2 linked regions of the Callithrix jacchus genome follow. Each later gene encodes a partner of the first gene's protein in a complex. Links are inferred from orthologs where the notes say so. Each region holds a gene or a part of one and is shown on either strand. Other genes may lie near its edges. The genes, in order: ZC3H13 and WTAP.

What was found.
Region 2: the proteins of ZC3H13 (region 1) and WTAP are in contact, whole or in part, in a cryo-EM structure (PDB 7VF2), measured with the Homo sapiens proteins. The link is inferred for Callithrix jacchus from reciprocal best matches to the Homo sapiens genes ZC3H13 and WTAP. Residues at the interface, in NP_001317494.1 of Homo sapiens: Arg1512, Pro1514, Gly1515, Ala1516, Ala1517, Leu1518, Lys1520, Phe1521; in NP_001257460.1 of Homo sapiens: Asp202, Glu203, Asp206, Phe207, Gln210.

What each region holds. Positions count from the first base shown.
Region 1 is NC_133506.1:165,159,773-165,163,841, reverse strand, and holds the end of ZC3H13 (zinc finger CCCH domain-containing protein 13), read left to right. Parts: intron 1-1,916; coding exon 1,917-2,087; 3' UTR 2,088-3,252; downstream 3,253-4,069. UniProt on the Homo sapiens protein: Associated component of the WMM complex, a complex that mediates N6-methyladenosine (m6A) methylation of RNAs, a modification that plays a role in the efficiency of mRNA splicing and RNA processing.
Region 2 is NC_133505.1:166,552,001-166,555,821, forward strand, and holds part of WTAP (pre-mRNA-splicing regulator WTAP), read left to right. Parts: intron 1-387; coding exon 388-542; intron 543-2,597; coding exon 2,598-3,178; 3' UTR 3,179-3,821. UniProt on the Homo sapiens protein: Associated component of the WMM complex, a complex that mediates N6-methyladenosine (m6A) methylation of RNAs, a modification that plays a role in the efficiency of mRNA splicing and RNA processing.

The sequences.
Region 1 (4,069 bases):
GTTAAAGGAAGAATGCCATTAAAATTTATAATATGCTTTATTCTTCAATAGTATTAATGAATATTGGTGTTAATAATGAAAGTTTAAAATATTCTGTTTCTGTTAAATGTTTTTTATTTGTGAAAAGCTTCTTTCAACAAGCAAACATTACAAAAATGTATTTAAATTGAAACTTAAGGAAAAAAATTTCTTTGAGTGTTGTCGATATTTATGGAAGTATTTATGAGAATGTACAAAGTTGGAAGAAAGGGAAATAAAAGCGATTATATATAAGCATTTGAGAAGAATAAAGACATTGAGAAATAAGAAATTAGATTTGGAAGAAATCTGTTAATGAGATCTGGTAAACCCAAGATGAAAACGTTTTAGACTTTTTAAAGTTAAGAAACTAGGATGTATTTGGGGTGGTGGGTGGGTACAGGCAGTACAGATGGAGTATCCCTGATCCGAAACTTTCTGAGCGTCGACATGACCCTCAAAGGACCATGCTCTTTGAAGCACTTAGATTTTGGATTCTCAGATAGGGACACTCAACTGGATACGTAAATGTAATGCAAATATTCCAGAATCCAACAAAATTTCAAAATCGGAAACATTCCTGTTTCTGATCCAAAGCATTGCAGTTAAGGAGTACTCAACCTGTATGATAAAAAAAAGAGCTGGTGGGATTCTTTGCTTAGCAAGTTTAGAGTAATGAAAGTTTAGAGTAAGGAGTACTCAACCTGTATGACAAAAAAAGAGCTGGTGGGATTCTTTGCTTAGCAAGTTTAGAGTAATGAAAGTTTAGAGTAAGGAGTACTCAACCTGTATGACAAAAAAAGAGCTGGTGGGATTCTTTGCTTAGCAAGTTTAGAGTAATGATCCAATGGATAACTTCACTAGCTTTTTACCTGGGGGGCAATTAGGAAAACAGAAATCTTTGACTATATAACATTGCTAAAGAAAAGGTAACTTCATTAAAGAAAAACACTCAGATTTAGGGCCGGGGGTGGTGGGGGTGGGAATTAAATTTTTCGAAAGAGGAGAATGAGTTTATCTCCAAACATTAAAATGGAAACAAATACAAGGAATAGGAGACTATTTAAACACATCTGAACTGTATGATCAAGTTTTCCTCACTTAAAGTCTGGCTCAAGGTTATTTTTGACAGAATTACTACAGTCATTCTCCTTTGCCCGCCCCCCCCATTTCAATATGTGCTTTTCTTTGTTTTTTATTTTGTACCATTCCCTGGTCCATCCTTCAGGACAATAACTTTCCAAAAAATGCTAATGTAACTTTAAGTCACAATAATATAGTTACACATTTTAGTATAAGGGGGTAGTAGTTCTTCAGTATACTGCATGATTAGCTGTCTTCTAAAGGATTTATTCAATTCTCGAGCTCACTTTTTATGGGACATTAACAGATTGGTAAGGATCATAGAACGTTTGGCTTACAGAAGGAAAAACCATGTGAGGAAGGAAGTCATGGCACTTGTCTTTGCAGAACCAAAGGGTTGTCAAGTAAAAGTCAGATCGACTTACAGCGTAGCTCCGTAGAAGAGCCTTTATTTCAGCACATGGAAGAAATACTGCCATTCAACAGTGGAATGTGCAGTGTGTTTTTTGTTTGTTTTGAAATTGGAAATGATGAACTAGAAACTGGTTGATTACCTGTCAGAAATTGTTGAGAGGATTCCTACATTAAGCCAGAGGTCAGACTAGGTGCCCTCTAAAAGTTTATTTTCAAAGAGTCATTGAGCCCAAATACATTTTCTGATTTTGCTTTGAAATCCAATAAAGCTAATTTAATATCCAAAATTAAATACTCTTATAGCTTTGATATTTTGGGTAGAGGTTAACCTGCCCATCTTTCCTACTGTCAACTAATCATGTACATCTTTTTAAAAAAATGTGTTTTTGTTTCTTAAATAGGGCACAGTAAAACAAGCATACACGAATGCTCCAGTGGTAGACAATGAGTTATTACGACTGAGTCTTCGGGTATTTAAGCGGAAGACTACTTGCCATGCCCCAGGACATGAAAAGACTGAAGATAACAAACTCTCACAGTCCAGTATCCAGCAGGAACTGTGTGTGTCTTAAGACTGAAGCTCAGTATGGTATTTCTGTTACTGTCTTCCGTCGGCAAAGTTATTTGGTTCGACAAGCATCATTAGTGACACAGGCAGAAAAGATTTATCAGCCGCGCTAAAAGAGTGAAGAATTTTGATCTTTAGAGACACTGGTTTTGGCTAACTTGAGATTTTACATTAATTTTTACATAGTCCTTGACACTCATGCAAAATAATGTGAAAACATCTAGATTTAATAGTTTATTCTGCGCCTTTTGTTAAAACTGAAGATTTTGGAAAACGGTTGTCACTGCTCTTCCAGCCTACGAATATTTTTGTGAAATTGAACCGGTGATTTATGCTGGATCATCCATACAGAAGCAACAATTTTATTCAAAAACAATGTGTTCATCAAAGGAGTTGCTCACATGGTGCAACACCGCGCTGTGCAGACCGTGGGAAAGGGAATGCTGGTACAGCTAGCCTGGTGTGTTTCTAGGGGAATCTCTAGCAGAAAGGAGCCAAAATAGTTTTTTCCCTTTGAAAGTCTTTTAAAAATTATTTCATGGGTCTTTTTTTTTAAAAACATTAATATGTGTGCATTGTTACAATGTATGTTAGATGTCTTTTGACTCTAAATGCTTTTTTTGTTGTCAGAGAGTGTGTACTATTTTTATTTTTAATAAACGTAACTTCCCTTTCCTTGTTTTAGATTTTACTTTGCTCTTCATTAATCTTGTTCCTGATGTTCTCAAACATTAGTGACCAACATTACAGTTTCATACTTCAGATGTTTTACTGCTTGTGTCCTTATTGTTGGATTACTTTAAACAGAGTTGATGTACTTCAAATATAGCTCATTAATACTTAAGGCATCTTGTTAGAATGTGGCTTTTGAAGAAAAAAAAATACTCAAAGCAAACCGAGAGTTAAGAAATCTAACGTAACCTGAGGTTTAATAGTCTACTATCATATTTGTTAGAGCTATAATTTTTGATTATATTAAACTGCCTCCAGCTGTACTATGTAAAGCAGATTTACTTTTAAAAATTACAGTGTGTAATTTGTTCTGTATGTATATGTTTAACTCATGAAGTGGACTCTTAGAAGGATTTGAAATGGACTCTGGCCACAGAAATTGTGGGCAGACAGTAGTAGTGATAATAATAAAAGAAGCCAATCAAAATTCAAATTTATCATGCCCTCTCACAGGTTTTTGTTATAATTGTAAGCCTACATTATTTGTGTTAGCAGTTTTGTCTCTATAGGTAACATAATGACAGTGGTGTAAAGTTTCTGTATGTTATGCAGTCAATTTATACAAGATACTTACCCACCAAGGAAAAGGGTCTCATCTTCAAATGACTTTGAAAGCATGTATACTTGTAAACAGAGCAGGAGAAAAAATTAATCAGAATTTCTTTATGTCCTTTTCCTTTACTGAGTGTTTTGAATAAAGAAAAAAGAAAAAAAAATGACCTCGGAGAATGAATACACTTTAGGAAGCCACTCCCTGATTTTAGTGGATAATATTGTTCTCTGTAGCACAAAGATTTAAAGTCCTAAAATTTCTAATCCTAGTTCTCAGAATTGTGGAATATGACAAAAATAATGGTTTTTCCATTTGTCCACTGACTTCGGGGATATTTCACAAGTTATTTATTTATAGAATGAAAACTGTGTAGTTAAGTCATTCAGTGAAACCTGTTGTCTTTCAGTTTGAAATCTTTGTTATGTTGCAAAAGAAAATGTAGAACTGTTCCTTTGGTCTCTCAGTCACAGCGTTCAGAGCTTTATGATTCCAGTGGAAATGTACTGTGAAGTCTCAGTTTCTTCTAATTCAGCCATTCTCAGGATTAGTGATATATACCTATAGAATTTTTCTAAAGCAAAAATTTTAATTGCATTTTTTATAAAAGCTCTTGGACCGTGATTAAACTTTCCGTTAAACTAGGATTCCTGTAAACAGTCTTCCAGTCTGTAAATGGTTTGCTAGTGGCAGTTAAAGGTCAT
Region 2 (3,821 bases), on another chromosome or scaffold:
TGTACCTTTTCAAGAACTTTTGATAAAGCACTAGATACTTCAGTATAATAATATTGGTGTAGCCAAGGCATATGTTAATTAACTGGCTCTGTTTCCATTTCAAGTGATAATTTGAGATGAAAATAGGTGGGTTTTAGAATTATTGATATAAGAGAAACAAGGTGTAGCTGTTTGGACCCTTTTTGTTTAGTGTTTATTTTTGCTGCTGTATTGGCAAAATACTGAAATGCAGAAGATGGATGTGTCCCAGAAAAGAAGATGGTAATTATGGGGAAGCATCTGCTGTGATACGTTATGTGTTACATCTATCACTGTAATAATTGTAAGCAAAGAAGGTTATAGAGAGTTTTGTCTTCATTTTGTGATAGATGGCTCTTTCCTTTGCAGCCAAACAGGGAAAAAGTTAATGGCGAAGTGTCGAATGCTTATCCAGGAGAATCAAGAGCTTGGAAGGCAGCTGTCCCAGGGACGTATTGCACAACTTGAAGCAGAGTTGGCTTTACAGAAGAAATATAGTGAGGAGCTTAAAAGCAGTCAGGATGGTAAGGGGTTTCTTTGAAAAGTTCTCTTAACCTTGCACTGGCTTTAAAACTGCCAGTCATGAACATTACAGGTTAGATTCTGTACATTGTTAACCTCTGCCTATGATTGTATATTATTGTGAATGAAACATTTTTAGTTGAGTCAGCAGACAAAGCCACATAATTTTAATGTGTTTTTCCCCAACCTCCTCATTCTTTATCGTTCAAAACTTTTTATGTTTTTGTTTTTAGTGGGGGTAGGATTTGGTAAGGTTGTTATATTACTTAACAAGATGGGCAAATTTGTATTTGGTGTTTGAAAGGGAAAAATATCTTTAACCATTTCTAGTTAAGTGTAAATCTTAGAAAAATTCGGCAAGTTTTCAGCAATCTGAAAGTAATATAGTTGATTGCACCTGTGATGGTTTTGTTAGTGAATAAGTGATTTACTCTTTAAATTTACTGAGATAAACAAAACTTGTCAGCCTCCATCCTTTTTAGTTCAAGTGTAGCGCATCTGTCCTGTTTCTCCTCTTTGTAAGGTGCATTATTAATAAGGAAAATATCTAAATCTTTGAAATTTTAAATTGAAAATTAGTGTCTCTGATGGTTAATTGCAAGGATGATTAGCAGTCAAGTAATTTCTTCTAAACTACTTATTATTTCAAAATCATCAGGAATTATTTCCTGTGACTTGTCCTTATATGTATAACAGTCCTTAGTTGAGAACATGGGCCTCTTTGGAGTATTAATAGCAGACCACACTGTCCTTAAGAGCCAGACCTGCTATGGAACTAAGACACTGGCTAGGAGGGTCAGCAATAAGGGGACTGGCCATAGTTGGCCCATAGGTAAATGTAAATCAAACTTTAGGGGCTATAATCAGGTGTATGGCAAAATGGATCAAAACCATTTTAACTTGGTTGCTTAATAAAGTCGTCCCTCGGTATCCATGGTGGATCGGTGTCAAGACCTCCAACAGATAAGCCCCTCATATAAAACCATGTCATATTTACATTTAAACCTATGTACATTGGGCTGGACGTGGTGGCTCATGCCTGTAATCCCAGCTAAGACGGGTAGATCACAAGGTTAGAAGTTTGAGACTTGCCTTCTCAAACCATGGCCAACATGGTGAAACCCCATCTCTACTAAAAATAACAAAAAAATTAGCCAGGTGTGGTGGCAAACATCTGTAGTCCCAGCTACTTCGGAGGCTGAGGCAGGAGAATCACTTGTACCTAGGAGGCGAAAGTTGCAGTGAGCCAAGACTGTGCCACTGCTCTCTAGCCTGAGTGACAGAGTGAGGCTCCCGTCTCAAAAAAAAAAAAAAATTAAAAACACGAGGGCCGGGCGCGGTGGCTCACGCCTGTAATCCCAGCACTTTGGGAAGCTGAGGCGGGTGGATCACCAGGTCAAAAGATTGAGACCATCCTGGTTAACCTCAATGGTGAAACCTCATCTCTACTAAAAATACAAAAAATTAGCTGGGCATGGTGGCGCATGCCTGTAATCCCAGCTACTCGGGAGACTGAGGCAGGAGAATTGCCTGAACCTAGGAGGCGGAGGTTGCAGTGAGCCGAGAATGCGCCATTGCACTCCAGCCTGGGTAACAAAAGCGAAACTCCATCTCAAGAAAGAAAAACACGAAAAGAAACCTGTTTAAGCCATTTAAGCCATCTCTAGATTACTTAACAGTACCTAATACAGTGTCACTGCTATGTAAGTAGTTATTCTACTATATTGTTTGGGTGATAATGACAAGAAAAAAAAGCTGTACATGTTCAGTACAGACCCAGTTTTTTCCTCAAATATTTTCCTTCTACAGTTGGTTGATTTCACAGATGCAGGACCTGTGAATGTGGATGGCCAACTGTATATTAAGTATCTGACTTCCCCCAAAGTAAACATACTTTAAGATTCCAAGCAAAATTTATAAATGTAGTGTGCTTTTAGTATTGTGTTTGTTTACTTAGCAAGCATTTTATTGACTGCCTTGCTTTGTGGCAGGCACTGAAGAAACATTTTTCAGTGTTATAAGAGATATTAAAGTTGATTTGACTCTCCTTTGCACAGAACTGAATGATTTCATCATCCAGCTTGATGAAGAAGTAGAGGGTATGCAGAGTACCATTCTAGTTCTACAGCAGCAACTGAAGGAGACACGCCAGCAGTTGGCTCAGTACCAGCAGCAGTCTCAGGCCTCTGCCCCAAGTACCAGCAGGACTACAGCTTCTGAACCTGTAGAACAGTCAGAGGCCACAAGTAAAGACTGCAGTCGTCTGACAAACGGACCAAGTAATGGTAGCTCCTCCCGCCAGAGGACGTCTGGGTCTGGATTTCACAGGGAGGGGAACACAACTGAAGATGACTTTCCTTCTTCTCCAGGGAATGGTAATAAGGCCTCCAACAGCTCAGAGGAAAGAACTGGCAGAGGAGGTAGTGGTTACGTAAATCAACTCAGTGCGGGGTATGAAAGTGTAGACTCTCCCACGGGCAGTGAAAACTCTCTCACACACCAATCAAATGACACAGACTCCAATCATGACCCTCAAGAGGAGAAAGCAGTGAGTGGGAAAGGTAACCGAACTGTGGGTTCCCGCCACGTTCAGAATGGCTTGGACTCAAGTGTAAATGTCCAGGGTTCAGTTTTGTAATATTTTTTCAGCAAATTTTTATACAGTGTCATTTAATTTGGGAGAGGATACTGTCCAGAAAATTAATGCATATACTTTTGTCACAATTTGCCTTTTCTTGGGTGTACGTTTTGGTTCTTTTTGTTTGGTTTCTCTTTGGGTTTTTTTTGTTTGTTTGTTTTGCTTCAATACCTCTGCCACTTTGGAAATTGTAACAGTTAATTACTTTGAATGTTGCTAAAAGGACATTTTGTGTAGGGTCAAGTTATTTTTATATGAGTTAATGTGAAATTGTAAATGGCAATTTTTCCTTAAACTATAACACAATGACGTCTGTATAAATCTGTGTCTGTTTAGAATCTGTGCTGTGTAAGGGCATTCTTACTCATGCTGTTACTGTACTTAATGCACCATTCAGACTTGTTAGAATAGATGTGGGTTTATGACTGCCAAGTTTGCCCAGTACAGTAGTTTTTTATCACTAAAAGTTGGACTCATTGATGGAGTCCTGTAGTAGTTTCAGTGTTAGATACAGTTTTTTCCACCATACATCTGTGCATTTTCTCTTTAGCTGACTGAATGTTTAAGAAATTTGTGTGCATAGTTACTCAGTTTTTATGAACTGTTGTATCCTGTTAATGCATATTGCTCTGTGACTCCAATA